Linked DNA regions of Schizosaccharomyces pombe. Changing the gene in region 1 together with any one later gene gives a genetic interaction. Each region holds a gene or a part of one and is shown in the gene's direction. Other genes may lie near its edges.

Region 1 (10,618 bases):
TTGAAAATGCAGATGGCTAAATTATGCCATAAATCAAAAAGTATGACGGATTTTTATTTTTCATCCTCTTCTACTTCTTCTTTTCTACTACGCCTTTTTCTTGCAGTTAAACGCTTTTCAGCTCCGGGCGGATAATATCCATCTCGAGTTTGATCGTATTCAGGCCCCATAATTTCAAGAGGACATGGTGGATTTTGTAACTCATAACGTCTACACAATTCAAATACAGCCTGTTCCTTTTCCTTAGCTTCTATCATTAGATCCATTGTAGGATCACACGGTGGAAAGTCAAACACCCTATCAGAGTGAGCACGTCGTTTCATCCCAGAAATCGCCGTTGGATCAGCCGATTCTGAGTAATGTTGCTTCTGTGTAATTCCCTTTCTTGTCCAGGTTTCTCGAATAGTTGGGATTAATGGCATTAAATCTAAACTTCCTTCACGAAGCGTTCCTGGCACTATGTTGTGATGATGCCAATCCAAAACTAGAGGAATATTAAGTTCTTGGCATAAAGGTAATAAATCTTGAACTGACCAAGAAACATCATCGTTTTCTAAAACTAAACGAGCTTTAACCGAATCAGACAAGCGTTGATAATTTTTACGAAACCTATCCAATGTTTCTTTTTTTCCTTCAAAGGTACCACCAAGGTGAATAATTAAAACAGCGTCTTTATTTAATTGTTCATTCAACTTCATACGACTGAGAATTTCATCATGATAAGCCAAATCACGTATTGCCGAATCAACTACGACTTCTCGTGGAGAGGCTATCTGGGTGTACTGACCAGGATGCATAGTCAATCGATGATTATATTTATTTGCCAGCTTGCCCACCTCCTCGAGATGAGATTGTGCAAATTCAAGGGTATATCCATACTTTGCATGGCTTGCGAAAGGAAATAAATCAGAACTCACTCTCATGAAGTGAATGCCAAAGTTGTGATTCCACTCAACCAATTTGATTAAATCTAAAACATTTTGCGTACCTAGCTGCTTGACACTTTCGAGCCCATCACGTTGAATGGTTGTAATTCGGCAGGTGCGTGAACAAAAAACCCTCTCCTTCATTGACCTTAAAATAGTATTCAAACAAGCATACCCCAATCGTCCTCGCCAGGGTATGGGTTTGTCCAAACAATCAAACATCTCTCGTGGAGCATGATCATCAAGATTCATTGTAGATTCTTTTTCTAAATTTTTTGCAGAAGAACGAGACCGTCTTCGTTTAGAAATTGGAGTTTCCAACTGTTCCGGCACAACCGGTTCGAACTCGTCAGAGCTACTTTCATTTTTAAGAGACTTTTCGTCGACTTCTTCAACATACTCCTCTTCCTCTTTTTGTTTAACTTTTTTAGTAGCTTTACTAATTTGCTCCTCCGATTCGGATTCTGACGAGGAATTGTAGTTGACCGGTTTTTTTGATCTCGACGATCGCCTAAGATGAGTTGAAGAATCATAGGACGCAACAGACTCATCAATTTTATCGGAAACAGAATCTGTCGCTTTCTTTTTACTGCTACGTGCCCTCTTTCGTGTAGACGTAGAAGTACTTTTTTTGTGAGGTCCACTGATATTAGCTAACTCAGTCTCATTTTCTTTTTTTAAGTCGACTGGTGTTTCGGCAGAGAATGAATTCGCACCGATATTAACTTGCGGTAACATTGAGAGTGTGGTTTTTGAGCTCATTGGAAGTAAACTTTTAAGGGTATCGGGTAAACAATGAAAACGAGAGTAAGTAATGGTACAAACCGACGGTACACAAGGATGATTACCTTTAAATGCCTTTTGTTTTAATATGGTGAAAACAATGCGTTTAGAGATTTGAATATTTCGTTTCAATAGCCTAAGCATTAAAAAATGAAAACGATTTTAGTATCAATATGACATTATTTAGAAGGAAATAAGCCCTTCGCAAACTTGCTTATATCCCTACAACTATTATCTTGTAAGTGAAAAGAGATATCGACAAGAAGTGATTGAGACTCAATACTAGTCAAAATCAACGAGTGTGAAGACAAATCTTCTTTCATTCCCAGTAAACCAAAAATGGTTTTGTATCATTGTTACGTCAAAATTCGCTATGATTTTATTGGAAGGCCATGAGATTACTGATGCTCAAGGGATTCAACTTTTGACAGTTATTGTTCAGTGTAGATAGGACTGCTTTTACGAGGAAATTTTGGTTTCTCAAATCGAGCTTAGTTTAGCAATACAATGTTAAGTAAAAAGATTGTGTTGCTTTCTCTTTAATAATTGCAGATTCAGTTGAACAATCAAAAAAACAGCAGATAGGAAAAAACATTTGAAATGAAAATTTGGCCAAGTCAAGGAGTCGCGACAATTTATTTTACCATCTGTAGCATATGTGTGTATGGGAAGCAGAAGTAGGCGGATTCGGGTCATTTATATTGTATTATGAACCGTCTTAATGCTGCTTTCTGCTGACATGGACATCTTTAAAAATATACAAACAATTACCGTGTAATTCACAATAGATTTAATACCATCAGCATTAATGAGTTGGTTGAGAAGCCATCATTGCGAAATCGCAATGTAGGTAGAGTAAACGAAGCGAATTGTTTACGATAAAATACAGTATATCTTTAGAACCGTAGATAGCTGCATCAGCGAAACGATTGGTTTTTTCTGCAAATACTATTACAACCAGTAGCATGAAGAACGCTTCTTACTGCCGCATCGTTTTTGCCGACCTGGCTGATCGATTGACAAAACAAACTTCTAGCAGAAATAAATGATCAGCGCTTCTTATATTTAACATTTGGCAGCGTGCTGCCCGCGTGTGAATATTTTCCTTAAGTTTGTATCCCAACAGAAAAGCGTAAAAAATTGGAACCACATTGAATCTTCAAATAAACAATATTAACATTACATTTCAGCATAAGCATCGACTATACATGACCTCGAGGTGTTTAAAGAATTAGTAATTCTTGCTTTGCACATAGTTTATAACGAAGTACGTCCTAGCATCACTCGATATTATCATTTAAGGTAGCACCACTATTGCTCTATACAATCAGCTATTACATAAACGTTGTAAGAGAGGAATTATACAAACGTCGACGACGGCGATTAATTGTTACCTTTCCCCTTAATTGAATACCATGACTGAGAATGAGAAAAGCAGGTCTTTACCTGCTGAAAGGTTCGTATATTTAAAGAAAACGACTAATTGATATTAGAAACCCTCTCTATAAAGACGATACACTTGACCGTACGCGCTTCCCGAAATTACGTGAAACTAATATAGCAGATACACCATTAATCCCAAAGTGTCGCGCTCAGGTAATAGAATTTCCTGATGGACCAGCTACTTTTGTTCGTCTCAAGTGTACAAATCCGGAATCTAAAGTGTAATTATCTTTTTTTTGCAGTGTTGTTTTTGGAAAAATACTAATGATGTATATAAATATAGACCTCACTTTCTTATGAGGATGGCAAAGGATTCAAGCATTAGTGCTACGTCAATGTAAGCGTTTTTTCATATCTTTTTCTAAAAATCTAAACCCGATTAGGTTTCGTTCAGCTTTCCCTAAGGCTACCCAAGAAGAAGAAGACTTGGAAATGAGATGGATTCGTGATAATTTAAACCCAATTGAAGACAAACGTGTTGCTGGACTATGGGTGCCTCCTGCAGATGCCTTGGCTCTTGCCAAAGACTACAGCATGACCCCGTTTATTAACGCCTTGTTAGAGGCATCCTCCACTCCTTCAACTTATGCGACTCCTTCACGCCCCACTGCGCAGAAATCAGAGACATCTGAGGGGGAACCTGAATCTTCGACATCTGCCACTACCACTTCTGTTGCTAGGCGCACACGTCAGCGTCTTGCTGAACATCTGGAGAATTCCAAAAAGACAATCCTCCAACATGATAATAAAGAAGAAGACAAGGAAATACATTCCGAAGAGAATGAAACGAAGGATGAAATTAAGTCTGAGAAGAAAGAGCCAGAAATCAAGAAGCAGGAAGGCGGTAGTTCTACTGAAAAAGTAGGTCAACCCTCTTCTTCGGATGATAAAGCAAAAGGATCAACCTCTAAAGATCAACCCTCTGAGGAGGAGGAAAAAACATCTGATATCCAAGATAGAAAGATTAAGACACCTATCAAGCCTTCTCTTCTTGGAAAGATTAGGTCAAGTGTCAATAAGGGCATGACTGACGTTGCCAGTCAAGTTAACAGAGGCATGACCGATGTTGCCAGTCAAGTTAACAAGGGCGTGAATGGTGTTGCAAGCCAGGTCAACAAAGGCATGAATGGTGTCGCTAATCAAGTTAACAAAGGTGTAACTGGTGTTGCAAGCCAAGTAAGAAAACCTGTCGGAAAGTTGGAAAAGAAGTTCGAGAATTTGGAAAAGAGCATTGGGGATACTTTGAAATCTTCCATTCGATCCTCTCCAAAGTCAAAGAAGAGAAGTAGAGAGGATTTTGAGGAAAACGAGGATTACAATGCTATGGTACCTGTGAAAAGGTCGCGTATCACCAAACTGGAAAGCGAAGTTTACTATGAAAAGCGGAAAGTCAGAGCACTTGGTGGTATTGCTATTGGTTTGGGTGTAGGGTAAGTATTCAATGATTGTGATAATTGGTCTTTTCCCTGGATTTAAAATCATTTACTAACTATCTTTCGCAGCGCAATTTTACCTTTTCTATTTTAATTTAATAGGGCCCTTTACCATTTTGAAACTACTGGATGTTAGAATTTAATGTGACATATGTGCTTTAATTTGTTGATGTAGTTTTTCGTGTTTAATGTGAAAATCAATTGACTTGATGACTTTTTACTTACTTTCGATTATGATTTGGGATTGGAGACCTGCTTCAGATTGATTTAGGGCTGAAATAACTTAATTTCCGATTGATTCTAGTGCACTATTTGGTTATCTTAATGTTTTATCACTTATATGAAGTTGTTTTAGTCCTGGGAAGTGTATTGTTTCCAATTTATTGCGGAATGTGATTTTTCCAAGTTATATTGATTACTGTACTTTGCTTTAGTTTTGTTTCATTAAATTTTCCTATTTTAAACTTATCTAGCAAAATAGCAAAAAGTAACATTTGTACGACTAACGAATAACTAACTACTATAGAAAACTAAAGAGAGTCGAAAATAGAATCTTCTTTTACTATGAAGATATTACAAATGTGCATTGTTTATATTCCAACTTCAATATTTCTTACTTCATAAGTAATAAAATTCGCTCGGTTTACACCCTTAACATACTATATTCAAGGTTGAGGACAAAGTTTTGGAAAAGTGCAATTAATGCTTGCGATTTGCCTACCATACAATAATAAATGCTAGTGATCAATTTTTGATATACAAAGGAGAAAAACAAGAGCATTTTCTTCAATTCTGATATTCTCCACATTAGATTATATCATCAATGTCCTCTCAAAAGAGAGCAGATTCCTCAAGTTCTTTTGATCAGGCGGAACGTCGATCTTTGGATGAAAATGAAAGGAAAAAAAAATATTTTTTTAATAGAGAAGGTTCCGGTATTGATAATTTTGAAACGGACGGTATGGTTTTTCAAGCTTCGAAAGCATTTGACTACTATTTACTGACAACTTTTAAAGACAGAGTTAATGAAATAATTAACGAGCAAAATGAAGAAAACGTAATTGATCAAAGCCGTTGGTCCAAGTTGTGGAGAATATGGAATGTTGGTTATTCATGGTTTATTCTCAGTATCATAGGAACAACAGTTGGGTTTGCGGCTTATATGCTTGACATAGTTACCTCTTGGCTATCGGACATACGAAGGGGATATTGTACTAGTCATTGGTATTACAATGAGAAATTCTGCTGTTGGTATAGCGAAACTATGGGTATGTTCAAACATGACTTGTACAATGATCTAACGTTTCAAGGTTCCTCGTGTACTGCATGGAAACCCTGGACTTACAAGTTTTCCCTAAATTACCTTATATACACGGCCTTCGCTTTACTTTTTGTGTTATGTGCTGCGATTATGGTAAGAGATGTTGCTCCTTTAGCAGCTGGTAGTGGAATCTCAGAGATTAAATGTATCATAAGCGGTTTTTTAAGAGATAGTTTCTTATCTTTTCGTGTTATGTTGGTAAAATGCGTTGGTTTGCCATTAGCCATCGCTAGTGGTCTTTCCGTTGGGAAGGAGGGACCCAGTGTACATTTAGCTACTACCATCGGGCATAATATATCTAAGATATTCAAATATGCCAGGGAAGGATCTATTAGATATAGGGATATTTGTGTTGCTTCTGCTGCTTCCGGAGTCGCTGTTGCATTTGGATCCCCTATTGGAGGTGTGCTTTTCGGTATTGAGGTAGGAAAGTTTATAGAGATTTTGACTAATTCTTTTAAGGAAATGTCTGGTGGTTATGACCCAAAAATGATAGTATATTCATTTTTCTGTTGTTTATCGGCCGTTGGTGTTTTGCATATGCTAAATCCATTTCGTACAGGGCAAGTTGTTTTATTTGAGGTTCGCTACTCTGGATCCTGGCATTTTTTTGAGCTTCTTTTTTTTTGTTTTCTAGGAATTTTTGGAGGTTTATACGGTGAATTTGTAATGCGCTTATTTTTCTTAATTCAAAAACTACGCAAAAAATACTTGTCTCGATGGGGTGTTCTCGATGCTGCTTTTGTCACCGTAATAACATCCTTGGTAAGTTTCTTAAATCCTTGGTTACGTTTGGACATGACCCTTGGGATGGAATTGCTTTTCCAAGAATGTAAGTCAAGTAGCTCACCTGAGTTAATTAATCTTTGTGACCCTTCTCTAAGGACTAAAAATACTATTTTGCTTTTGATTGCTACATTTGCAAGAACAATATTTGTTACCTTCTCGTACGGAGCCAAGGTTCCTGCTGGCATCTTTGTTCCTTCTATGGCGGTAGGTGCCTCGTTTGGCTATATGATTGGTTTGATAGCAGAGATGATTTATCAAAGGTTTCCAAACTCAGTTTTATTCTTAGCTTGTCATGGTTCTGAAAGCTGTATCACTCCAGGTACCTATGCGCTCCTTGGAGCAGCAGCTTCTCTCAGCGGTATAATGCATTTGACGGTCACGATCGTTGTTATTATGTTTGAATTAACAGGTGCCTTAAACTTCATATTACCTACCGTACTTGTCGTGGCACTTGCAAATTCCATTGGCAATATGCTGGGAAAAACAGGTATAGCTGATCGTAGCATTGAGATTAATGGATTACCCTTACTTGAACCAGAAAAATCCATTAATAGCTCCAATACCATAAATATACCCATTACTGAAGTGATGGCTAGCAATTTAATAACCATTCCTAGTATCGGATTTACATGGAGAAAGCTGTTAGGAATGATGGAAGGTTACGACTTTAGCGGATATCCTGTTGTTTTAGATTCACGATCTAATTATTTAATAGGCTATCTTAAGAAATCATCACTGAAGAGTTCTTTTGAGGCTGCAAAACTAGAGCCTTCATTTACTTTTGATCAGCAGTTGTGTTTCGGAAAGGTTGATTCAGTTGGCGATAGTAAGTCCTCTAAATTCGGTGAATCAGATAGAATAGATCTTTCAGCGTATATGGATGTGAACCCTATTTCTGTATTACATACGCAGAGCATTGCAAATGTCGCTGTTTTATTCGAAGTCTTAAGTCCAAGTGTGATTTTTATCGAAAAAGACGGAAATTTAGTTGGCTTAATCTCAAAAAAGGATTTATTACTTGCATCCAAATATTACCAAGAAGATAATGATTTAGTGAATCCTGCTAATCGTCATCGTGCAGTTTCTACAGAAAGGATCAACGACAGCTATGAAAACATAGAACTAAAGCCCTTAAAATTAAACATAGAATGATAAAATGTAATAGTTTCATTGAAGGGAGAATTAAGTATGGCTAAAAAGTTGATGCTTCAATAGTACGAAAGCAAGAACTGTATAAACGAAAGTGACTAAAATCGATAACGAAGTTAATTTCGGAAGACATAGTCTATCAGAAGGTGTAAAGAAATATACGGTACAAAATGAAAAAAGTAGGCTCATAAAGTAATAGCAAACCAATTAACCGTTGAAAGCTTTTCAAAAAAAATGAGAAGAGAAATGACGAAGTAAATAAAAATAAATGGAAAGCATAAATTGCGACTTAAAAACAAACTGAGCTTTTTAAAGCAAATCTGACATTTTAAGCCATGTGAAAGAATTAATGGCTATAAAAAGACCAGTTTTCGGGGAAAGGCATTTCAAATGCGGTATAGAATTTATCTAGACAGCTCCATCCATTATAATCAATGGATTCATAAGGATCACAGTCGCATTTAGCGCGTGTAGCATCATCCAAAGGACAATGACCGCTACCAGGATGCCAATAGCCAATCTCATTGAAAAAATGGATATTGTCACGATCAGCGAACAACGAAACAGCAATGCTATGAACTGGAGCATCACCCCAACGCTCATAGAAGAAATTACCACTTTTATCAAGGTAGTCAAAATATTTACTATAAACTTCACTTTCCCAAAAATCAACTTTCGCAATTTCAAAATTAGTCCAAAAATGACATCCGTTATAAGTTTCCCCATCATCATTAGATATGAAGTTTAGAGCATTATTAGGATGAAGAGCATTAGGGTGCATTTTGATGAATTCTTTGGTAGAGGGCCAAAGAGAAGGAATTGTTTCTGAATATTCAGTTACAGTGATAGTGAATGCATACGCCTTGTTATTTTCCTTCATATAAGCAAATGGATCGAAATCGAGGTCGCAAAAGAAATCCACACTAGGTTCAACTCTCCAATAATATTCGTACTTCTGAACAAGAGGATGACGATAAAAGAAACCAGACTCAAAGCGACACATGTGACGATAAGATTCTTTGTCAGCATAAAGAATTCCTAATTCTTGAAGTTTTTTCCAATTTTCATGCATTTTGTCTTGGTCAATATATTCCGGAATGCTCCATTGTTCCTGAGGTACCAAACCAAATTCACATTTGCCAGAGACCGCTTCAATAACATGCTCCTTAAATTCGTCAGAGAACTCCTCATTGTTAAGGAAAACCCATCCATAATGATATTTATGATTGAAAGTCTTCTCAAGTTTTCGGATTGATTTAAGTAAATCATTCAAATCTTCATTTCTTGCCAACGTAACAAAGGCAGCATTAACCCGTTTATTTGGAAGCCATTCGGAGCGTTCTGAGGGCTCTAGATTAGAAATATTGAAATACGAAAGAGTATCTCGATTGTCAATCAGACTGCCCTCAAATACACTGATAGTTGGGATGTATTGCTTTTTGAAACGTACAAATACAACCAATGTAAGTAATACCACTAAAAGTAAAACACGTTTGAACTTTCTTGGCAAGCGAACCATTTTGCATTAAAAATAGAAATGCTATATTTATAGATTCTGTAAGTCGGGTAAAAAGTCTTTAAAGAGACCGTTATTCTTCTAGTACAAAAAAATGAAATAAACAGCCGAAGGAAAACCAGTGAAATTGCAAGTTTTGATTTTCACTATAGTACTTCGAATATGGCTTCCAATAAACCAATAGATAAATAACCGAATGTGAACTAAAAGTACACTGGAGAAGGAAACAATTGAATCCTATGCAAATTATTAAATGTAACTACTTTGATAGTAGTAACTCTACAAAGCTAATATATAAGTCCAAGCACCAGTCAGTAAATGAAGTGATTGCTATGTTACTCAAAAAGTATAAGTAGAAAATTAAAAAGAATTTCTCTATGTTGGTTATAAGGAAATTCTAATAGTGAGCAAGCTTTTATCAATTAATGGTGGTGGCTGAGTGAGAATGGTGCAGGCACAGTTACAGTATTTACGTTATTGAGTTGTCCAAAGTAAAATTAGACCGATCGATTCTTTGAGTTTTACAGTCTAGCAATTATTTATTATACATACTTAAATAACATTATTTTAGCAAAAAACTAGGCTAGAAATCAAGTTGAATAAAAAGTTAACATTTCTGAAAAAAATTTTTTTTTTCTAAATTCCTCTGACTGTTCATAGGTTAAAGGCTATAAATCAAAAATTTTCAGTACTATCATTGTACATTTCAACTAGATGGAGAAGTTTCGCTTACACCAGTATTGCAGATCGTAACGTCAGATGTCTGTAATAATACTTTGTTTTTAGCATTGTACATTTGACAGTTATGGTTAACTAGGATTACCTTTCCTCTAGGACTTTAAAGATTTTATCAGCTAGTTCAAAAAGAAAAACGGTAATGTAGCAACTACTTGCCTTACATATTTGTTAATATATATCTCCCAGATATTATAGGGTAGGCAAATTTATTGAATGCACGTTCAAGTTGTCTAAAGCTAAGTCAAGCAATTACGTTTTTCAAAATTGAAAGAAGAAACATAATTATTGTAAGGTTAAGTGAACAAGCAAGTAGACTTATTAACCTATGCAAATATTGCTTTTACTTAAGAGGAACAGAACTGATTCATTAATAAAATCAACATACAAGCGTAATTCCTTATAGCAATAACGGTATATTTTCTTATACATCTATAGAGAGACGTATATACTGTTATAGTTAATTAGAATTGGCAACTGAGTTAGCTTACTAGTACGATAGATAGGAAATAACGTATCTTAA
Region 2 (11,350 bases), 620 kb from region 1:
TTTTTGAAGCTTCTCCCATAGATGAAGTTTAATATTGCTATCATTATTTATAAGTAAATTAGCCAATGCTCGGTGTCGAGTTCCAGCATTATCAGATTGAAATGCAGCCGCGTCTTGGATACTACAAAATTCTTCAAGTGTGGTATTCGCAAGAGAAGAATAACTATATGTCATCATTATTATTTCACGCAATATTCAGTTAATCATGAGGAGCTTATGTAACCGTGTAATTTCGAGCATGAAATGAATGAAACTAACAAGATATTAAGGTCCTTACACTGAACACATTGCGTGAAGAATAATGACAATGAATTTAAAGTTAGCAACAACATGTTGACATTGCAATATTACATACGTTTTGTAGCGATTGAACCTGAGCATAATTGGGGCATCAATATATACAAGCAAAAAGAACGGACGTTTGAGCAATGCACTTAACAAACGTGGACTATGAATTCCATTAATTACAAATCTTTCGCGCCATCTTGGAGTGAGATAGCTAATAAGATCGTCAACGCTGCCAAGGACTAAATCGCCAGTTCTATATATATATTCTCCATCCTCGTTTAGTTGTGGTAATCGAAAAATAGCATTGAAACCATGCTTTGTCTCAAGGTATTCAACAACGGCATCTTTTCCACTACATAATGGCCCTGTAAGACCAACAGTTGGCATATTTATTTGCTTAATAAATCAAACAAAGCTACTTAAGCTTAAGAAACGTATTTCAGTTTGATTATCTCCCCAAATAGTTAGAGATAGATCGGTTTTAACGTACTCACATACCTAATGATACTAACTATCAATACCAACAACGAGTTGCGAAAATGCTAACTTTCAATTTCGTAAAACTATGCTTCTATAATCTGTAATCTTTTTAAAAAATAAAATATATATTTAATGAGATTAAAAACTATTTGCTTCCAAATCTTCACGAATCCTTGAATATTTCAGATTTTACGTTTCACTGTACTGGACCAAGAATCTAAAAAATCCTTTTAGTGAATTCGAATAAAGTCGTTTTTGGTTTTAAGTGTATTGACCTCTCTTTTGCTGGTCACGCTAAAGTTTAGAGCACTCAAAAGTTGTACTTAAGTGCTGTGTACTTCAACAGCAACAACAATAAGATCATTAACTGTATATTGTTAAGGAGAAACTCGGAACAAACGCATTCAACTAACAATGAAACCATTTTTATCTAATTAATGTTCATCACATCAAATTTGATAATGAGCGCATTTCATGTAAACTCATGTGAAACGATGGAATCTGTCGAATAATATTTTTTATGTGCGAATATTCAGAATTCTTCTAAAAGTCCAGTAATTACATACTAATCGTTCGTAAAATTATGTTTACGGTTAGATTACTATTGCATCGTAGGCCTAGCATTAATTGTCAAGTCAGCAATTCAACAATGATATTTATATGTGGCACATATTCTTTTTCTCAACATCCTATTTAATGATATTGGAAAATTTTTTTGTTTTCGGGAAATTAAAACACTACAGAACTCAACTGGACTGAGGAAGAGGTTGAGTTATGAGCAGCTTCAGTAGTAAGTTAGAAGGTTAACTTCACGTACCAACTTAATTAATAATCGAGCTCACAGCAACATAAGTGATGATTGTTGGTGATTTAACGTATCATTAAAGCTAATTACAGACTACATAATAAGCATTAAGCCATTAACGTGTACTAGGTAATACTCACGACCGTACTGTAGAGCTCGGTAAGATCGTAATTTTGTCAAGTTTCCTGAGGTTTAATAACCCTTTGGTTGCAAATTATTGTTAATCACGATCTTGTAACTCCTATAATTATTGAAGTCAGTTTGCAAAGAATTTAGAATTTAAATCACCAAATAATTTGGGCATGAGATGAGTTTCAATCCTGCAGCTGGACTGCTGGGAAAATTAAAGAAATTATGGAATGATACAAAAAACGATTATTTGGAATGGGAGCGAAGCCAACAAGGTCAAATTAGTGAGTCAGTGGTTAAGAATCACTCACCCTCAAAGCGAAAGCGACGGCCATCGAAGGAGCCTTCCCTATCACCTAAGCGAAGAAAAAATATTTTAAATGATCAAAAAAAAGATGAAGAGTCAATACCTAATGCTGGTACACAATCACAAAATTTTACTCACTTAAGTGCATCTAAAATTCGTATCTCAGATGAGGATCGAATTAAGCCATTGGTAGATTTAAATCAAGATCACTCTTTTGACATGGCATACTTAACACCTGCAAGCGCTCCCCCTCCGCGATTTCGATTTGTACCTCCAAAATCTGACGCGAAATCTCATTCGGCTCCTAGATCGCTAGAAGGTGTTACTAGCTTATCTGATTCTCATTTCAATTCCCTTGAAGCAAACTTAAAAGCGATTTCGAAAGATAGCAACAATAAAGCGCACAATAATCGTTATGATGAGTCTTCGCTTACGAACCCTGAATTTTCCATCCTTGTTGAGCGTTTAAAAAGTATTGAAGAAAATTTACAAAGCCTGCAGGAAAGGATTTCTCATTGTGAGCGTTCAGTTAGTCTTAGCCCATCTTTTGCTCCACCATCTAACGTTAAAAGTCCAGTCCAACAGCACCGGTCTTTTGTTTCAAGTTCAGCAAGAGCAAAAAAGAATTGGGGGAGACAGTCGAATAGTCCGAATAGTAATAAAAAAACCGATCATGCATACCCAGGAGCTTCAATGAACACTGAAAGGGGTTTAATTCAAAACTTAGAAGATTCAGATGATATCCATGAAGAAAGTTCGGATACCTTGGAAGAACCTCTGTTAATTAACGAACTAAACCGGACTTCCTTTCTCAACTCCAATAATAATTTAAAATTGAATGAAGCTGAAGAAAATCAAAATTTATTGAATCTTCGAAGTCCCAAATCATCTGGAAAGGCTGATAATTTGACTATAAAAAGCTCATCTAATATTGATAAAGTTACTTCAAATGATCTCTATCTTGATAATAATTTGCAAAGTCATTTTAAAGTGACAGAGAGTCAACCGACTAATCTAGGGAGGAAAGAATATTCAAATTCGCCTTTTTCTATCAGAGCTAGAAAAGATGCAGCAACTACTAGTTCCTCATTTGAAAGTTATCACAATACACAAACGATACAATCACCTATGAAATTTACAAAAGCGACGCCTTTGAAAGACAATGAGTCAGCTAGTGTCGATGAAAGTAAAGTAAATGTGTTGTCGGAGAACCAGTCTTTACAGGCCGATACCGCTACGTTGGAACAACTTACACCAATTCCAAAGGCAAGGTGGAACCAACTTGCAAATAAACACCCTTCCCTTTCTAATTCAGCTGCATCACCCCCTGTTTCGTCTCCTGGGCTCAGGCGCTCCCATATCCCAGTTCATGAAGGACTGAAGCATACAAGAGATGGCGTTGCTGAAACGAAGGATGCGCTTGCAAAATTAAGGGAAAAAATGCAGGAGCGACTAAAAAACCATACTTCTTGAGGAGGCACTTTAGTGCTTAACCTAAAACCTATCGCAGGCGATTGTTCTTTAGTTTACGCTTCATCTGACAACTTTTATAATACGGAATTAATGCAACAGTATCTTTAGACTCCTTTTGGTATATTAAATATTTTCAATTAATGTTCTCCTTTCACAACGAAAATTGACACATTTTAGGGCTTGCGTTCCAAGCAAACAAAATACGCTTCCCGTGACTCTTTTAAAGAGGCTTTCGGTTTCATCACTTGGACGAACCTAAAGTGAGATTTCAACAAATTTTGTAAGTCGGCATCTTCATCCCCCATGTAAAATTTACAAATAAACGAGCCATTTGATTTTAAAAAGGTTAATGCAACATGAAGCGCAGATGCACAGAGTTCCTATAGTAGGTCAGAGAAAATTTACAAGAAATGTATTTACCATGGAGAGAGCATGATCCCGGATCCGAATCCCTGTAGCCTTATGAAGCCTAGGATGTTAGATGTAAATATATTTTAGACCCTGTATTTAATTACATATCACTTATAACAGCGTCGACCACCCGACAATCAATGCTATCATTCGTATTAGGCTCATGTAGTAGCCGTAAAGCCTCGAATAGTTTAGTCAGGGTGTTTGGATCACGAATATCACCGTAGATGGGTAATACCCCTTCTGGTGGAGCTATGTGCTGAATATCAATGCCTATTACTTTCCCTTTATTTCCAACTAACTTTTTTGCTACTTGCGACCATGATCCAGGTGCAAATCCCTTAAAAACGTTAGGCTTATGATAATTAGATAATTTAATACCACGTCAATCACCACATCTTCTTTATTAATAAATCTGTATTTGGAATTCAACTATCAATTAGTATTATTATCCAAAATCGTATCGACGTGGTAACAGTACCTCTATTAATTTGTATGCTGCTCTCGACCGGAAATTGTCGATTTTACTTTTTTTTCGATAGAAATCTTTTGAACGCTTAGCTGCCCAAGAAAAAAGAGTTTTGGAGCCAAACATCTCCTAAACCCAAAGTGTTTGTGAATACTAGATCAAATTTTTACCAAAATATGAATTGAAGTATGACAGAATTTATTAAGTTAAAAAAATAGTGGTTTTATTTATTCTTTCATCAAACGTGTCTAAAAAGGACTAATCGCTTTTTTTATTCTAGTAGATGGTTTAATTTCTAAAACGTAAAAATATTACTTTAATAAACCAGATGAAGAAAATAACTCTAATCAAAGTACAGCCGTCTCAATCTATTTCACAGTTGCTTCTTTACGAGCATTGAATGGATTAAGTACTGTATTTTACGCTATATGACGCTACGTTACCTGTCACTATTTGCCATAAAAATACTAGCAAATTCGTTTATTGATAATTGTAAAAGACTATCCGTATTATTCACACAGATACCTAGAGATATCGGGTTAAAAATTTTGCAAGCTATATTAATGATTGGCTATAAACTTCGTAAACTAATATTAATAGGACTGCTATTCATATTGCATACCGCGATTTTATAAATTACCAGTAAACACACCGCAATTTATGATTGTAAAATAGATACCAAACTGCATAGTAAGCAACTTAAGTAATACACAATAAATCTATAAAATTCACTATTTATGATTAAAAATATACATAAATTACCGCTAAAATAAAAATAATGAACTATAGTATTGGCTATAACCATATGCATTATGTGCTTCCTTAGTTTTGAAGGTAAGGTTCATCTAGTAGCACGTATCCACGCTATAAGCCGTCGTTCATCGTATAATTCGTTCTCACAGCCAAATAAAGGCTTATAAAGAAATCTTGAATTTAATTAATTATGTATCGTCTCAAATGTGATGTTAAAAGTTATGGATGGGGAAAAGTTGGTCACGAGTCTTTAGCCGCGAAATTAGCTGAGGCTGGATACGGTTTCGAGGTTGATCCTAATACCCCATACGCTGAGGTATGCAAAAGGCTTGGTTAATTCTATACTAATTGAATTTTCTATACAGTTGTGGATGGGTTCTCATCCTTCTGGCCCTTCCTTTGTTATGCAAACTGGTAAGCCGTTGAGTGAGTTGTTAACTCCAGAAACCGTTGGAGAAAAAGTGTACAAGAAATATGGGAAACAACTCCCCTTTTTATTCAAAGTTTTATCGATAAATAAGGTGCTGTCTATTCAGGCTCATCCTGACAAACCCCTTGGTAAACAACTTCACAAAACGAATCCGAAAGAGTACAAGGACGATAATCATAAGCCAGAAATGGCAGTTGCATTGACAGAATTCGACGCTCTTTGTGGTTTTCGACCAGTAAAGCAAATCGAACAGTTCCTTGACAGTATAGCTCCTTTGCGTGAATTTGTCGGTGAAGAAGCTGTTCGTCAATTTAAAGGTACCGTGAAGCAAGACGAGAGAAAAGCATTGGAAACTTTATTTAATGAGTTAATGCACAAAGACGAAAAAAGGATTCAAGAATTTACTCCTCAGCTTGTTCAACTAGCAAAAAGTGATGCTAACAACTTTGGTGGAACGGAATACGGCGGAAAAGCATTTAGCGATTTAATTATTCATCTCAATAGTCAATTTCCGGATGACATCGGATTATTTGTTACTCCTTTTCTTAACTACGTTCGATTACATCCAGGAGAAGCCGTTTTTCTTCGTGCCTTAGATCCACATGCTTATGTTTCTGGAAATATAATTGAGTGCATGGCTGCCAGTGATAACGTTATCCGTCTTGGCTTTACGCCAAAGTTTAAGGACATAGAAACTCTCGTAAATAATCTCACTTATCAGACTGCGGATGCCAAATCCCAACTTACCCAACCTGTACCATTTGCCAAAGCTTGTGGATCTGGCAAAACTCTGTTATATGATCCCCCGATCGAAGAGTTTAGCATTTTGCAAACCAAGGTTTCTCCTGGTCAAAAACAATGCATACGCGGAATCAATGGCCCTAGCATTTTACTTGTTACTGAGGGTTCAGGCATATTGAATGGAGACAAAGGAGATGTAGCATCGATATCTCCTGGATTTGTTTATTTTATTTCCGCAAATTTTCCATTAACGATCTCTGCGACTTCAGAACCTGTTGTCGTTTACCAGGCATTCTGTGAGATTTAGTTACTCTGCAGCTTTTTACTACTATCAGCACCATTATAATAAAACAATACATGGAATTTTTAAATTTTTAACGATACTGGATAGGATGGACAAAATTAAGTAAAAACAAATTTATTTTTTCGTAGATGCAATGCATAAATAATGAGCGTTTTTAAGAAATGTAACAAAATGTAGAGAAGAAATATAGACAAAAAAATGAAATGAAGAAGATGAACCCCAAAAATAAAATAAAAAATGAATCCAGAAGAAAAATGAAAAAAATGAAAAAAATAAAAAAAATGAAACCAGAAAAAAAATGCGAAAACTAATCAACAACGAAATAAAGCATAAAAATGGGAATGACAAAAGTAAAACGAATGCAAAAATAATTCTAATAAACAAATTTTTTTGACCAAGCATCCACTTTTAACACGCAATTTAGTACAACTCAAAGTAGGCATTGCCTCCGGTGACAGAGACTGTACAACCACTGCTGTCAGCGGTGGAACCATGGAATGATCCGTCTTCATAGTAGCAATCACCACTAAGGGACCCACCATCAGATTTAATACGGATATTGTAATCAAGTTTAGCAGATGATAAAGGATTGAAAGACATAGAAAGCCAAGTCTTGCCGTCAGTGTAACCAGACCCGAAGTTCATAGGAGCCCAATTGCCATAATCATCGCCCTCATTACCCCAAACACAGACATCTTCTGCACTTCTGCCAGATTTATTAACATAGTATTGAGCGGATGTCTTCTTTCCTCCCCAATTATAGTATGAATCTTCATCAACATCAGAAAGAGGTTGTTTTGAACCACCATCAATATTGGTAGGGATATTCATGTTCTCAGTTCCGGGGTAATCGGTACGGCAAATTGCGACATTGGAACTCAATGTATTTTTAACATAGGCAGTACCCTTTCCATCTTCACAAAGATTAGAATTATCCTTCTGGGTGAGATATAATTTACCGTTCTTGCAATACAAACCACCAACGGAAACGCCATTGTCAGGCTGCTCAGACGGCCATTGGGTCTTAGACATTCCGGGCTTGCATGCATAGGAACAGTATGTGTTATCTTGGCATGTAGAAGCTGTTCCGTATTTACCATCATTCTTCTGAACACCAGACCATCCTCCAAAACCTAAGTAATCAAGGCGGACAACGCCATTTTGATCATCAGGAAAAGAGGAGCAGTCGTATACGCCGTCAGGAAAACCACCGTCTCTTTTTGAAAAAGCGGTAGTGTTTGTGACATTGACACCAACAGTTATATTGCTAGCATTCAAACCGGCATGATGGTGATGGTGATAGGGAGCATTACCAAGAGGCATAGCTGAAACCAAAGGAATGGCGGAAACCGCAAAACAAAGAAAGTTGTTAAAGAGCATTTTTAGATTTAAAAGATTTGACAGGAATCTAACGATTGACTTTATAAACGATAGGATATGCTAGTAACTTGATACTAGAAAATAAAAGAAAGATGGTAAAGAATATAATGGTCTTTACCTTTTGCGGTTCTGATTGTTTAATTTCAGCTCACGGCTTTTCCCTAAAAATCAGCTCAGCTTTATATACATTTCTTTTTTCAAGCACTTCACCATCTTTTGATTAAGAGCCGTGGCGTTTTGCCACTAATTAACCATGAAAGCCTGTAAGTTTTCAACGTTGATTTTTTCAGAAAATTTCTAACCATAAACCCGAAATAATTAGCGCCAAAACAGTCAACTATTGCGCTCCAATCATTGCTTGCCTTGCTATCGGCTTTGTATTCATTGGCTGATAACTTAATTAAAAATGAACTTAAAAGTCAGTTGATAAATTCAACCAATTAAATGCGTGAATTTGATCTACCCCAGGAAAATTTATACTGTCCCGGGGTCGCGGGGCGTTCAATCATTCATTTCAAAGCAAATTATTATTATTTCCAAGCCAAGTAATTTAATTTTTGTTTATCGCTTTAGCTTTCTTATCATAAGGAAGTTCTTGGTCCCCTGGGCCTTTTGCAATTGAATTGCGCGGTGTACGTAAGCCTAATGACATCCCTGTATACCTAACTTACAAATACGTTGGCTCGACTCAACGTTATATTGATTTTCTCCTAATACTATTAAATATATTTAATAATCTCTTGGGAAAGTAATCTGGTACATACAAATCATCCTAGATATAAGAGGCTCGGTGCATTTCGGCAAATGATGTTCTGCAGCTCATTAAATATGATATAATATTAATTAATTAATATCGTGTTTACACTCGGTTTATCGGTTTGCTATGCTAAGAACTTTTACGGATAACAATTTAATTATTTATCTTGGTAGCGTATTTGACGCTTCTTTGGATACTGAGATTAAGTCAAATTTTGAATGGAGAGAAGTCGAATAATAGCCCAATGCCTGCCGAAATTACCCGATGCATGTCATTGACGAGACAAAAAATTTCTTTCAACGGCCTAAGAAAATGATGTACTAGAAACGCCATCTTAGTCTGACATTTTACATTTTACGCTCATGCTCAAATTTTATTAATAAATTATTATATGTGTCCGTGTCATTTAGAATATGACAGGGGAGGGTAATCTCTTTCCCAACTTTATTGGCGTGTAATGAAATTCGCGAGCTACTATTGTGTCTGCATTCTTTAGCTGCAAAAACGCAACGGAAAAGACAATTTTATAATATGAATACTTCACGTGTTCATTGTTTTTGTCTTTAGAGAATTTATTTGAAAATGCTGAGGAGGTTAATATCTGGTATACAATTAAAACACTATCGCAAATAATGTAAAAAAAAATAATATTGAGGAGCCATAACTAAGTCATATAACTTTTCTTATTGAACTATTGTTATGTCGCGATTTAGTCGTATTTACCATAAACTATAAAAACTTTTCTTAATCAACAGTAAAATTGTTACTTATTCTGGTGTTACTTACACCTCCGCTTGCGTAGAGTGAATTTAAAATTCATTGCCAAGAGTTTATGGTCTTTACGATCTATCTCGCTGAACTTCAAAAAAACCAAGAAAAAGTATTGCTCTAATGCATTAAGACGATAACTATTTGCAAAATAATTTCATATACATGTTTCCCAACGGGCAGTTGTTTTAAGTAAATTCATCAGTATCGATTCTTGAACCAGGTTCTCTAACATCATAAAAGAACTTGACAAATACTTTTCTACTAAGTGTCTGTAAACTACTTGAAATGAATGAGAAGAAAAAAGATAGCCTATCTGTTTTAGATTCCAATGAATTTTTCGGTGAGACAACTATGGTATCACCGAGTATTGATGTTTCCTCTTCTCCCCGGCCAAATGTCGAGAGATTTTCTCCATGTTCCACTAAAAAAGATCTCCTGGAAGGAAATAATATAATGACCAGAATTCCCGAGGAGCTTAGTCGTGTTAGTCTACAATTTGATAGCAAGGGAAGTCAGCAATCGATGATATTTACTAACAATCGATGTTTATCTGATAAAGAAAATTTGGAAAACTTGCAAAATCTTTTATATCTACATTGTGATCTTAACCGGCCCCATTTGAGTTGTGAGCTGCCGTCAGAGCATCGCGAAAAGTGCCTTAAACGCCGTAACTCTAGTCTCAGCTCTAATTTGCATGCTAATAAGCGGTTTCTCTTCAATTCTCAAAGTGATGGGAATAAAAAGAATGAAACTTTTCCTTCTACTAACTACTCGAACGTTTTCTACCCAAACAACTGTGACAGTAAGGAAGTCGCTAGTGAAACAACATTCTCACTTGATGCACCAAATAATTCTGTTAATTACTCTTATTTTTCTCCTAATTTACTCGGCAACGATTCCAAAACCCGTCAATCTTTTCCCCCTCATTCATCTTCATCTTCACATAATTCTTTGCATGAACCTGTCATATATGATTTTTCTTCAGAAAATCCTAGCATTCATCCTTCTAATCATTTGAGCTCTCAAAAAAATGCTGTTTTGAAATTAGCACAATTAATTTCTTCCTTCGAAAAATTACCCGAAAGTGTTCGTCAATACTTACTTTTTCATCTTCTTTCTCGATGTGGAAAACATGCTGTTCAAAATATTCACAAAATTCTGCTTCCTATCTTTCAAAAGAACTTTTTAACTGGATTTCCGGCTGAGATTACAAATTTAGTGCTTACGCATTTAGATGCACCTTCATTGTGTGCAGTTTCGCAAGTTTCGCATCACTGGTATAAGTTGGTATCGTCCAACGAAGAACTTTGGAAAAGTCTCTTTTTAAAAGATGGTTTCTTTTGGGATTCAATTGATAGTAAAATCCGTACGATGTGTTTAGAACAATCTTTGTCAGCCTGTGCGATAATGAAGCGGGTCTATTTTAGACATTTTAATCTTCGTGAAAGATGGCTCCATGCCCCGGAGAAAATTAAGCGATGTTCATTCCCAATTCATGGAGTTCGTCTTATTACCAAACTTCAGTTTGATGATGACAAAATAATTGTTAGCACCTGCAGTCCTAGAATTAATATATATGACACGAAAACAGGTGTCCTGATACGCAGTTTAGAAGAGCATGAAGGTGATGTTTGGACTTTTGAATACGTTGGGGATACTTTGGTTACTGGCTCCACAGACAGGACAGTAAGAGTCTGGGACCTTAGAACCGGTGAATGTAAACAGGTGTTTTATGGACACACGTCAACAATCCGTTGTATCAAAATAGTTCAAGGCAATCAAAGTACTACTGATACTGATGATGTGGAAAAAGAAAACAGACCAGCTTCAAATGATGCTAATTCAATGCCTC
Region 3 (11,322 bases), on another chromosome or scaffold:
GATTAAGGACATTAAACTTAAGTAATGTGTAATGTAGTGAGATATCGATGACAGTTAATGTTAACGACAGCATAGCGATTAGTCCTAATGCGTTGCTCTTACTTTCCTTATTTTTTATTTTTCAGTAATTAATAAATTATCTTGAGGCTTCCGTTCCTTTTGAGCAGAATAAATCAATGAATAAAAAGTTTTATAGAGAAGTTAAGACAATTATTTTTTAATAATAAGTATTGCTAAACTGATAGATATGGGCTGCACATTAACAGTAAACTTTCCAATTCTACTAGAAAGCTAACAAGCCACCATTCAGCCAAAGACTCTTTCTAAAAAATTTGATTATATCTATAGAGTATTAACAGTATAACTTCAAATCGTAAACAATACAAGCACTAGCCAAGGGGGTAATAGCGTATCTTAACGTCCTGAGCACATTGCACGCTAACACTTGTAGTGCCCTAAACACAAATATTTTGCAGAGGCGAATCTGCTAAAAGCCAATAATTCGGTTCTTTGACAAACAGCCAAACATTAACCATAACTTTTTTAAAGATGTCTTCGTCTTTTAAAAATGCAGGTCAAAGGAAAAATCATCGAGAAAGAGCTCAGCCTTTTGAAAGACGAAAATGGGGTTTGCTAGAGAAACGAAAGGATTATGCGCAGCGTGCTCAGGATTATAAGACAAAGCAAAAGAAGTTAAAACGTCTTCGTGAAAAAGCCCTTGAAAGAAACCCTGATGAGTTTTATCATGAAATGACACACAAAAAGACCAAAAATGGAGTACCCCTTGAACAGCGCGAGGATTCAACCATCGATATGGACACAATCAAAATTTTGAAAACTCAAGACATTGGCTGGATTCGGCATCATCGCAATGTTGAACGTGCTAAAATTGATCATTTGGAACAACAAATGCATACTGTGGGAGCTCATCGGAATAAAAATGAATCCAGGAAGCACACCATCTTCGTAGACAATGTTAAAGAGGCAAAAAGTTTTAACCCAGCTGAATTTTTCCAAACTACAGATGATCTGGTTGGTCGAACCGAAAATCGTGTAAAGAAAGATCAAATTGAAAACAATGAACTGACAAACCAGCCTTTTTCTGGAAAATTGCACTCAAAATTAAAAGAAAAGGCGGCGACCGAGCTTCTTTTGCGCCAGAAACGCGACAAAAAATTGGCGGCTGCTGAAGAACGTGTCGAGCTTGATAGACTTTTACAGGGAAAAGGAGGCCGTCAGAAAAAGAAGGTCGTAAACGGAAAACCGGTATACAAGTGGAGGAATGAGAGAAAACGATAATTTCCTTAAATTGCTCCTAACATAATTGAGGAACTGTTTTCAGTTTGTTGTGTTTGTGATTTACTGGTTGTTATTTCGTTTCTTTCATTTAGTTGTACCTTTTTTGTTATTTATCATTTTCTCTATTTAGTATGAATGTACTTAGGTTTTGGAATTTTTAACGAATGGATTGCTTATTTATGAATAATTTGGTTTAATCATCTGTCTAATTCTAAGCAAATATCCATCTATTTCTCATATTGAGCTTCATAGTGTTGTGAGTCATTCAATATTACCGAATTATTTTATCGGTGAGTATTAAGAGTTTGTCTTAGGTTGTAATTCCCAAACTTTAAAAGTGTATGGAATGGTTTAATTCAATGCCTTGTAGTGTGATAAATTGTTTCCTTTCTTTTTGTAATTGCAGAAGCTAGAATTATAGTTGTTATTTTATTCTAATACTCTCTAAAGAAAATGTAAAGTACGAAACGTACCAAAAAATTCAAGCTATATCAAAAAGTGAATATCTATAGCACAGGATATAAGCTGAATAACAATGAAGACAATGCAAAAATTTTTACCTTAATAATTATACAATTCCTAGAAAGTCTTCCATAGAATGAAGAAATTTAGAGCAAGCAATACTTGCACTCAGAGGGTAGTCACTAATACTGATTTTTTCGTCAACCCAACCATCCGAAAAATCGTCCGGACCATGAGCCATAGCACCAATTGCAATACAAACCGATTGGTTGGGCTGTAAAGTCTCAAGATACTTGCGAGGAGGAACAGTAGGAGCATCAAAAGATAATGTTGCCTTTCGACAGTTCGGAGGAAGGTAGTCTGTAACTGGATTTTTGATCACCTTTAGAAGCTTTTCATTGCCATTCACACTACGAATAGAGAGCTTGTGAAGAAGCTGCACCATCAAACCGGAAAAACGTTTGAAAGTTCTAGGAATACGAACAGAGGGATTCACTTCAATCAAAACTTTCTTAGCTGTGTGAATGTACACTTGAAGACGACCTGCCTTATTCAGTGGAGAATCCAAAAGAGTCAATAAGCATTGATGAGTAATATCAGGACGCGCTTGAGCAATGTTACGGTTTAACTTTTTTAAAATACCTTGATGATCATCGCAATTTAGAAGTTGATATTTTGCATCCTTAGCCTTGCCAACTTTATAAATTTCCAAACATGCTTGGTCCAATACGACAATCAAACGCTGTGTTGTAGTATCATGAGAACCAATTGACCTCGCTGGTATTGGCGCCATATGGGTAGTAACACGATGAACCGACCCTGCAGGAAGTGGACGAGCTTTGACGGTTTTGGAAGAAGCACCATTGGGATCCTCCTTTTCTTCATCTGACTTTACTACATTATCTATTTCTAAAGCCTCAACACCCAACTCTCGATCGATAGACTCTGGCTTTTTCGAAAGAGCTTCAACAGAAGCTTGATTCTCACGAAGTCGTTGTAATTCTTCATCTTCAATAGAACCTACTGCACCATTACTCTGCTCCTTTTCATCTTGCATCAATTCACTAGCAGTTTCACCTGACGTTATTGTTTCACTCGATTGACTTCTCTTTATGAATTTGGGTTGATTGGTTTTCTCAGAAACCTCTAAAGAGCCTCTAGACTTCCTTTTGGAATAAGTAGGCATGAATGATGAAAAAGCTAGTCTACCAGATATTGGGTTTCGACAAAAAATAATGGCTTGAGAAATTTGCTTTTGGTGGTAGCTACAAATAACTATCAGATCTAACCTACCTTGCTTAAACAAGATAACGCATATTTACGAACTTACGATCCGCTTAAACCAACAAGTGTAAAACCAAACATATCACTCGCGCATTGAGCTGAACAAAACAATGACTTATCTAAATCAACAAAAAAATTATAAAAAATCTACACACGCCGAAAATTTGTTTTCAATGAATTCTATATTAACTAAAAAAATGCAGGTAATATAAGTCCATCTTCAGCAAAAAAAAAAAAAATAAAAATAAAAATAAAAAAAAAACGGAAAAGAAGTAAAGGAAGTGGATTAAAAGGAATGTGTAAACAGGTATCGTCAACACACAGAAAAACCGTGCCTTCTAATACTGTTGCACATATCAGGTGGATAAATACACAAACGCGACACATCAGTGACGGAAATATGTGTTTATATTAGAAAAACTAAATCACCACTTAATGCAACATTATTTGTAAACAATGAAGGAAAGAGATAAATTTAAAGTTTTAAAAAGAAATGATTCCAAAACTATTTACAAATAAGAGCAATAAATGTTGCCGTAATTCAGTCTTTACGTAAAAACGATTTGCGAGTGAAAGATATTATAATCAACGATAAGTTGACTATCTTGACTAGCAATGAAAGCTCAAAAACCGAGGGCTTGAAAATTGCAAACATTCAAAAAAAAAAAAGCATAAAGCACATTGCATGTACTCCTTGAGCGTAGAAGATAGGTTACAACATTCGCCAAAAAAGGTGACCACATAAATATCACTTATATTAGCAAACATCATGTATATCATGGACGAAAGTTTAAAAGGTTGGCAACCAAAGCCAAGTTCATGAGAGGAAAAGAAGATTATAACTATAATCCTCGACACAGGAAAATAAGATGTACTGTCATCGCAAAGCAATAGGCAACACGTCAGTAATAATTAGGAAAATTAAAAGAAAAAAACACAAGAGAAAAAAATGTACGAGACCGGTGAAACAAGTTTCAAACAAATCTCGATAAAAGCACAACGAGATTATTAATAGCATAATAAAAACTAGCCAGAATAAAATTAATGCAATATGCAGATCATAACACCCAACGCTCATAAAAAAGGTAACAAATGCCCATTCTAAGCATACAAATCGAAAAGTAAACGAGGCACATTTTCGATAAATAGTCATTGACGAACATTTCCATATTATAAATGAATTGCTCGCTCAATTAACTAACAAGGAATAAGATGAAGTTAAGGAAATCTAGTCAATAAAAATCAAGATTTCAAATCCAAGAAATCCATTAAAAACGTTGGCATTTCTTTTAACTATAAGCCGTTAGAAAAGGAATTCAGTAGCTTTTGTATGAAATCCTCTAAAAACCAAAAGCGAAGGAAACAAAATTAACCCATATAGAGAGCTAAATTCTATAATCCAAAAAAACAGAAAGACAGAGGTACATAGGGTGATAGTAAGAAAGTCATAATACTAGCAAAAATACTAGACTATGATAAATTCTCTTGGCCAATGTTCAAATAAATAGTGCTACAACGAACACGTGTAGATAAACGCGGAGACGAAAGAAGGTGAAACAAAAAAGTGGAATAGTTAGAACAGAACACGAGGCTTAAAAAGGTGATATGTCCTTAGACATAAATAAGCATCCAATGAAACTATGCACTTCCTTGACGCAGCATACGGAACAAGCGCTGTTCACGATCGCGATGAAACAATAAGTCTAGGGCAGAAGTAGAATGACAATGAATGCCGTTATTAGGGGAATTCAAAGTAGGGGTAATGTTACCAGTGGGATGGCCGGCAGCATTGAAGTGATTAAAAGAAGGAGTGGAAGCTGAATAGTTAGTATGAGGAGAATTGTGTCCACTGTAAAATCCATTCGTCTGTTGAATACTCTGCAATGAGGGATCGTTACGAGACATCGGACAAAAATTATGACCCATGGCAACTTCGGATGGGGTTGAAGGAACAGAGGAAGATTGATGAAACTGGAAAGGCATGTTTGAGTTCACACTACCAGTAGGAGGTTGCCATTCAGCCTTTTCGGAAACGGGAGAGTGTAAGAACGTAGGGATGGGAAGATTAGAAGCGGCCGGAGAATGAGTAAATGTAGGACCGGCGTAAAGAATGGAATTAGTATCGGAAGAGGAATTCGAAGAAAAAGATCGATCAGCACCGGAAGAATTGGAAACGTAAGAAGATACAGACTTCAAATGAGAATCAACTTCTCCGACGGCAACCTTATCAATTCCTAAGCCAGCAGGAGCCGAAGCAACACCAGAAGGAAGGTGGGAATTAGAATTGCCACCTGAGATACGAGAGCCAGCATACGAACTGTGACCAGATTTAGAGCGTCGATTCCCGCGTACTTTATCGCCATTTCGCTTACCATTGCTTTCACCAATGTTAGAAGTAGCAAAAGTACTCTTGGGTTTCACAAAGTTAGGTATCTGGAGATTACCATCTCGTTGGGGCATAATCGACATTCCATCTAAACTGAACTCGACATCGCTGGAAGCAACCATTGCTCCGCCCGGTTTAGAATTAATTTTCTTCTTATTACGTTGAAATCTACGTCCAATGTCTTTTTGCATTTTTTACTATAGTCAAAATTCGAGTAATCCCTAATGATCATGGATTCTGTATTCTTAGTGATTGATGTTGGTTAAGGATAACTTCGGGGGCAACACTCTTACCCAATATACGTTATTTGGGCTGAGGTGACACAAAGCAATGAGCTGCGCTATGCCTCCTTATAGAGCTTTCTTCCCTTAACCATTATTTGCCACCCACTTTAACTGGCAAAAAGAAAGAAGGAAAACAAAGATTCGGCACAAAGATAGAGAAATAAGAAATTGCTTTACCTTCGTTTAGTGAAGTCTTTTATTAAATTTGAAAAGGTGTGTTTGAACAGTGGAATTCAAGCAATTTCCTAAGTATATTATAGCTCATTGCTGTAATATTATAAATTTGTATGGGATTGCAATTACGTTCACGAATCAGCAACTTATGCCAGGTTTCCTTTTTAATGTAGATAAGGATTCATGTAATTAACTAGCTTATATCAGCTTTATACCATTTTTGATCAGTTTGAATTATTCACCATGGACAATTGGGAGGACCCTAACTTCGAATTGCGAAATCTTCGTGTCATAGACTTGAAAAAGATCCTTCATGAATCGGGAGTGTCATTCCCTGTGAATGCCAGAAAAATAGAGTATATTAGGATGGTGGATAGAATACGGAAAAACAAATTAAGCTCTGGTCCACAACATTTATTGTCTCATCTTCAAAAAGAGGAAAACTCTAACACCTCAAAAGCGTCTAGCTCCGAGGATGAAATAGCTCCTAAATACCTTTATCCCTCCTCTCCTTCCAAAAGCACGAAAAAGCCACACAACGAAACAGAACCGCTTCTGTCTCCACAATTCATTGACAAACCTAGCAACATTGAAACCCCGGTTAAAATAGAGTCTCCGCACGTCTCTCAAAATAATACCTTTCAGTCCTATTCTGAATTGAGCCCTAATGTGGAAACATCGCTGACTATGAAAACTCCGCCAGCCCACGCGTCTACACCAAAATTTCGCTCGCATAAATCTCATAGGGTAGCTGTTCCTATGTCATTTATGGATAGCTCTGCTTTACATACTTCGCCAGCATTTTCGGAGAGGTTAAAGCTGCTTTCATCTTCAAACAATTTTTCTCCACAATTGAGGTCTCCCAAAATATCACATCGTCTACAAACTTCAGCCACTTCTAGTCCTCTTCAACATAAACGACCCTTTACTAATGTTCCTGAGCGAGTCTCTCGAGATATCGAGTTTGCTCCTCTTGACAGTGCAAGGCCCTCTGAATCTTCATCGCCTTATTCTGAAGTAGACTCTGCTGAGGAAGATGACGAGCTTTTTCAAAATTACGTTTTGCAGCAGACTCGAAAAGAAAGCAAACTTTGGTCGTTTATTAAAAAAGTATTTCACGACATTAAGTACGCCAATTATCGTCTTCTTCACAATTTGCGCGCCTTTCCTGGAATCAGCGCGATATCTTCTTCTTATTTAGTGCATATTTTTATGATTTTATTAGGAGTGGTGGCAGCAATTTTTCTGGCTTTATTACGGGAGAAAATGTTTACAGCAGGATTCTGTGATTCGGGTGCCAGTGGAAGTTCTGCTTCAATTCTTGGAATAAGTTTTCCATCATTGTGTAGAACTTGCCCTCCGAATGCAATATGTCCCTCTCCAAATTACGTTGAATGCAAGCCCGGATATGTCCTCTACGAACCATGGTATTCAAGTTTAGGATTTTGGCCCTCCAAGTATTGCGTTAGTGATACTTCTAGAGAAGAAAGTGTTAATATTTTTCGTGAAGAATGTTTAAGTGTATTAAGATCCTGGAATGCAATTTTGCATTGTAGCAATAACTCGTCAGATTTGCTGGAACGAAATATGTCGTACAATGCGCACCCTTATGTCGCCGATAATCTTAATATATCATCTGATCATATCTCCTTCCCATCAAAACCATTTGCGTTAGGATTATTACATGATACGCTTCTTGAAAGAAAATCTCCAACCCTTGGCCTTGAAATGTTTGAGGACTTATTTAAAGCTTCTTTGGCAGTACTTTCTGAAACGAATGAAGTTGTCATGGATTCAAAATTAATTTGCTACGATAGCTGGGCAGGTATTCCTTTGCGGTGTCGTTTAAAACAGCAACTGATAAAATTTGTTTGGAGGAACAAAGTTTTTTTATTTGGAATCCTTGCGTTGTCAGGAGTTATTTTTAAGCTCATCAATTTTTTTCGTACTCGCAGTATCGTAGCAAAGTATCTACCATCGGCTTCTCGATTCTGTGTAGAATCTTTGAAGAGACAGAAAGCAAATTATCAAATGTCTCGATCTCAAGAACCCGTTATACCACTAATCGAAATGCATGATATACTCTTTCATGGAAATGGCCCATTGGAACAAATTCATATGACGAAAGCAACTGCTCGAACTCTTTGGGAAGCAATAGTCGAACGTGTTGAACAAGTTGGCAGTGTAAGAACTCGTGAATCAGAAGTAGACGGCGAATGGACCCGTGTATGGGAGTGGGTCGGCACAAATACTTTGGATTTCCAAACCGATCGTTCATTTATTAATACAACTTCCCCTTTACGTGAATAATGATTCTCGACTGTATTTCTAGCTTTGTATTTATGACATTTTTCATAGCTAATACAAAAGTAAGTTAATAATATATTTATCTGAATGCTTATACATATTAAAAATGAAACATAAAATTGGTATAATGAGGACTTGTTTGCAAGGTTGATGAAATTTAACTGTATTTCTTATATTAATGTGATTCTTAGTTATACCAAATAAATTATTTTAAAATAAAAACCAAAACCAGTACCATTTTTGATTGAATATGGGCATGTCTAGAGTAAGAAATTAGCGGAGAAAAAATAGGACATGTCACATAGAAAGGGTATTTAAAAAAAAATAAAGGAATTCAAAAGGGAGATTCACCCAACATTACGGTTGAAGATTCGTAGTCTGTGTCTTCTTCTTCCTCGTCATCATCCAAACCTGGAATTTGTTGCCATTCGTTATAAAATGGTTGAACAATTATAGAAGACTTCGTAAGCCGGTAAGGATCAAAGGGAAAATAGGCATCCATAGTGTCGAACCCTTCTCTAAAAATTCCTTTTCTGTTTTGCTCAATAATGGAATAGACGTACATAAAATTGAGATGATTTGCAACCTTTGCAAATTGAAGTACAATATTGGGGGAACAGTATCTCAATGGATTAAGCCGAGAAAGAACGGACCGATGAAGTATCTCTAAGCCCGGTATCCATTCGTTAGGTCTTGGCTCCATGGATTCAGACTCATCAGAGACACAAAGTTCACGCCAACGAAAGCAAAATATGTAAAAAATACTTTGATTAATTGCGTAAAAAACCGAGTGTTTAGATAGTAAATCATCGGACAGCTCGTTTTCACATTGATCTAAGTAAGCTTCAACCCAACGAGTCATCATATTAACGATGATCTGAATTGTATTTTTTTCTAAAGCTTTGGCTCTAGCAACGTAAGACCCAATATACATTGCACCACTTAATCTTAAAGTATAAGGTTGTGATGGGTCAAGACAAACTTCCGTAAGCACTCCAAGGAAAATATCAGTAAACTCGGGATCCAACTGAGAAGCCCAAAATATCAAAAATTGAGTATATCGACAACGGAACGTTTTAAGGACCGTGTTCACAAATGATTTAATCAAACTATTATAAACCAAGTAACGATCTCTACTAGTAGATTTTAAATTGGAATCTAAATAAGAAAATAAAGTATACAATAGCTGATCCAGTTGCTGCATCAATTGACGAGTGTCTGTTAATGAGGGAGGAGTCAATATTGTGCTAGATGTCATTTCACTTGAAATAGCAGTATGCCGTTCATATAACGTTGAAGCTGTAATAACTTCAGAATCGGCATTGCTAGTTCCATCATCATCTGTTACCACTTCATCCTCCTCCTCATCATCATCATCAACCTCTACTTGTATTTCCACATCAATTTGGATAATTTTATCAATTATTGCATGCAATACAGGACCTTTAATTGATGGTACATATTCACATATACTTAAAACGTTCGAAATATAAGTCATCTGTGCTAAAAGGCTCTCGTCCTTGTACGGAAACTCCTCAAGTATGCTACTATACAAGAAGGAATGCGCACGGGGAACAAGTTCCAACACATATTTTAAAGCCATATGAGCATGTTCATAATGGATTGCTAAACTATCAGGCCGATACAACATATGCTGAATCAGCATAGTCATAACTAGCGGCAAGTAATTAGATTGTGCAGATATGAGATTTCCTAAAAATCGAGTATAGCATCTCACAAAGGACTCATCTCTGCTCACCCAAACAGAATCTAGTACGCTCATAACTAAAGAAGAATTAGAGCTATCCAATCTGGAAACATTGCACGTCAAAGCCGACAATAAGTTTTGAAGTTGCAGAGAGGAAGGTGCATCTTTAGTATCACTTTTTGCAGCAAACTGTCTTCTAAGATCTTCATAACCGGCAAAATTTCCTTCTGCTTTGTCGTCCAAAGCTTTATTGACGAAAGCACGTAACATTTGTTGCATTAATCGTCCATCATTTTTGGAAACTGAAGAGGCAAAACTTTTGGAACCTACAGTACGATCGGGAACATTTGTAGAAGATGCCATTGTCCCGTTGTTAACACATTTATTAATATATTGAGGATTCGTAGAGGAAATGATGGAAGGCATTGTAAAGACGAGATAAACACTTGCACTAATCACAGATAAAGGAATGGATGCAAACAAAAAAATAATAAGAATAACACTAGCGGATAAATTCACGTATGGTTATTCTAAACTTTGTAATAGTTAGTTTCAAAGTTAAACCAAAACTTAAGAGTAAAGTAAATGTGGAAATAAACTGTTTCAAGTCAAGTTGACCCAATTGCTTAAAAAACCAAACATTGCTATATCTCTCTTATTAATAAAACATTTCCTTACAATTTCCAAAAACTAAGCCGTTAATTTGCTTCGAAAAGCTAAATTTTTAGAAATTTACAGGACTTCCCACGAATGAATTTTACACCCCAAAAACTTTTCGGTGTCTCAAATGAGTCAGATAAAATAATCAAAATAAATTTGTAAGATAAAACAAATTTAAATTATAAGAGTGATCATTAATTCATTCAACGTAAAAGCAAACCATGTGTGGCGGTTGGCAGAAACTATGCTAACAGTTTGTAAAGAAAATTTGAGTATATACTGAAATGCAGCGCATTGCGCTCTTTGCTAAACAATGCAATATAGATACCGATTTCTAATGTATGCTAAGTTAAAAACTATGTAGATACCAAATTAAGTGTAATATTAAACAAAGAAAAGTAGGGATCTTCCAAATAAAACCGGATCGAAAATCAATTAAACAGAATAAATAAAGCGTGATAATTGTTTTCTTCAAATACCAGAGTTCCTTCGATTACTAGTAGAACGTCTGCGGCGCTCTCTCAAAGATGCATTTAAATCTTTGTATGCCTGTTTGTACATTAAATACATTTTTTTCGATAATTCGCCAATATCCTTGTTACTTCTTCCTGAAATATAATAGTAGTTTTCATCCTGGTATGTAAAAGCGACACGACGATATGGACCAGAAACGTATTTATCCTTAGGGATTATAGTGGCAGCATAGGGATAAGTAGAGTTATCCGGTGTTGGGTTTAAAAAGGAATTTGAGCGCTCCA

What was found.
Region 2: of bqt4 (region 1) and csi1, changing one suppresses a phenotype caused by changing the other (phenotypic suppression), as found in Schizosaccharomyces pombe (one study listed by BioGRID).
Region 3: mutations in bqt4 (region 1) and lem2 are lethal when combined (synthetic lethality), as found in Schizosaccharomyces pombe (one study listed by BioGRID).

What each region holds. Positions count from the first base shown.
Region 1 is NC_003423.3:2,837,733-2,848,350, forward strand, and holds bqt4 (integral nuclear inner membrane protein Bqt4), read left to right. Parts: upstream 1-3,101; 5' UTR 3,102-3,124; coding exon 3,125-3,165; intron 3,166-3,202; coding exon 3,203-3,234; intron 3,235-3,273; coding exon 3,274-3,373; exon of another isoform or gene 3,374-3,435; coding exon 3,436-3,489; exon of another isoform or gene 3,490-3,535; coding exon 3,536-4,582; exon of another isoform or gene 4,583-4,595; intron 4,596-4,654; coding exon 4,655-4,679; 3' UTR 4,680-5,102; downstream 5,103-10,618. Other genes in the region: endonuclease Uve1, read right to left, coding at 54-1,853; SPOM_SPBC19C7.11 (ClC chloride channel), read left to right, coding at 5,409-5,544, 5,602-5,853, 5,896-6,329, 6,369-7,847; Golgi alpha-1,2-mannosyltransferase Omh1, read right to left, coding at 8,191-9,363. UniProt on the Schizosaccharomyces pombe protein: Connects telomeres to the nuclear envelop (NE) during both vegetative growth and meiosis. This connection ensures clustering of telomeres to the spindle pole body (SPB) when cells enter meiotic prophase.
Region 2 is NC_003423.3:3,459,560-3,470,909, forward strand, and holds csi1 (protein Csi1), read left to right. Parts: upstream 1-1,778; 5' UTR 1,779-1,880; coding exon 1,881-3,482; 3' UTR 3,483-3,655; coding exon of another isoform or gene 3,656-3,862; 3' UTR 3,863-3,902; coding exon of another isoform or gene 3,903-3,951; 3' UTR 3,952-3,997; coding exon of another isoform or gene 3,998-4,233; 3' UTR 4,234-4,274; downstream 4,275-11,350. Other genes in the region: dcd1 (deoxycytidylate deaminase), read right to left, coding at 1-163, 356-675; 2' O-ribose methyltransferase Mrm2, read right to left, coding at 3,656-3,862, 3,903-3,951, 3,998-4,233, 4,275-4,325, 4,375-4,488; mpi1 (mannose-6-phosphate isomerase), read left to right, coding at 5,306-5,431, 5,481-6,593; beta-glucosidase Psu2, read right to left, coding at 7,011-7,970; cullin 1 adaptor protein Pop1, read left to right, coding at 9,784-11,350.
Region 3 is NC_003424.3:2,228,466-2,239,787, forward strand, and holds lem2 (LEM domain nuclear inner membrane protein Heh1/Lem2), read left to right. Parts: upstream 1-5,812; 5' UTR 5,813-6,132; coding exon 6,133-8,199; 3' UTR 8,200-8,308; downstream 8,309-11,322. Other genes in the region: U3 snoRNP-associated protein Utp11, read left to right, coding at 550-1,299; rRNA (pseudouridine) methyltransferase Mra1, read right to left, coding at 1,868-2,947; protein Edc1, read right to left, coding at 4,684-5,622; RNA polymerase I general transcription inititation factor subunit Rrn3, read right to left, coding at 8,531-10,330; SPOM_SPAC18G6.12C (uncharacterized protein), read right to left, coding at 11,036-11,322. UniProt on the Schizosaccharomyces pombe protein: Nucleus inner membrane protein involved in meiosis. Plays a role in regulating nuclear envelope (NE) morphology and nuclear integrity, particularly during spindle pole body (SPB) extrusion or insertion through the NE, and perhaps during karyokinesis.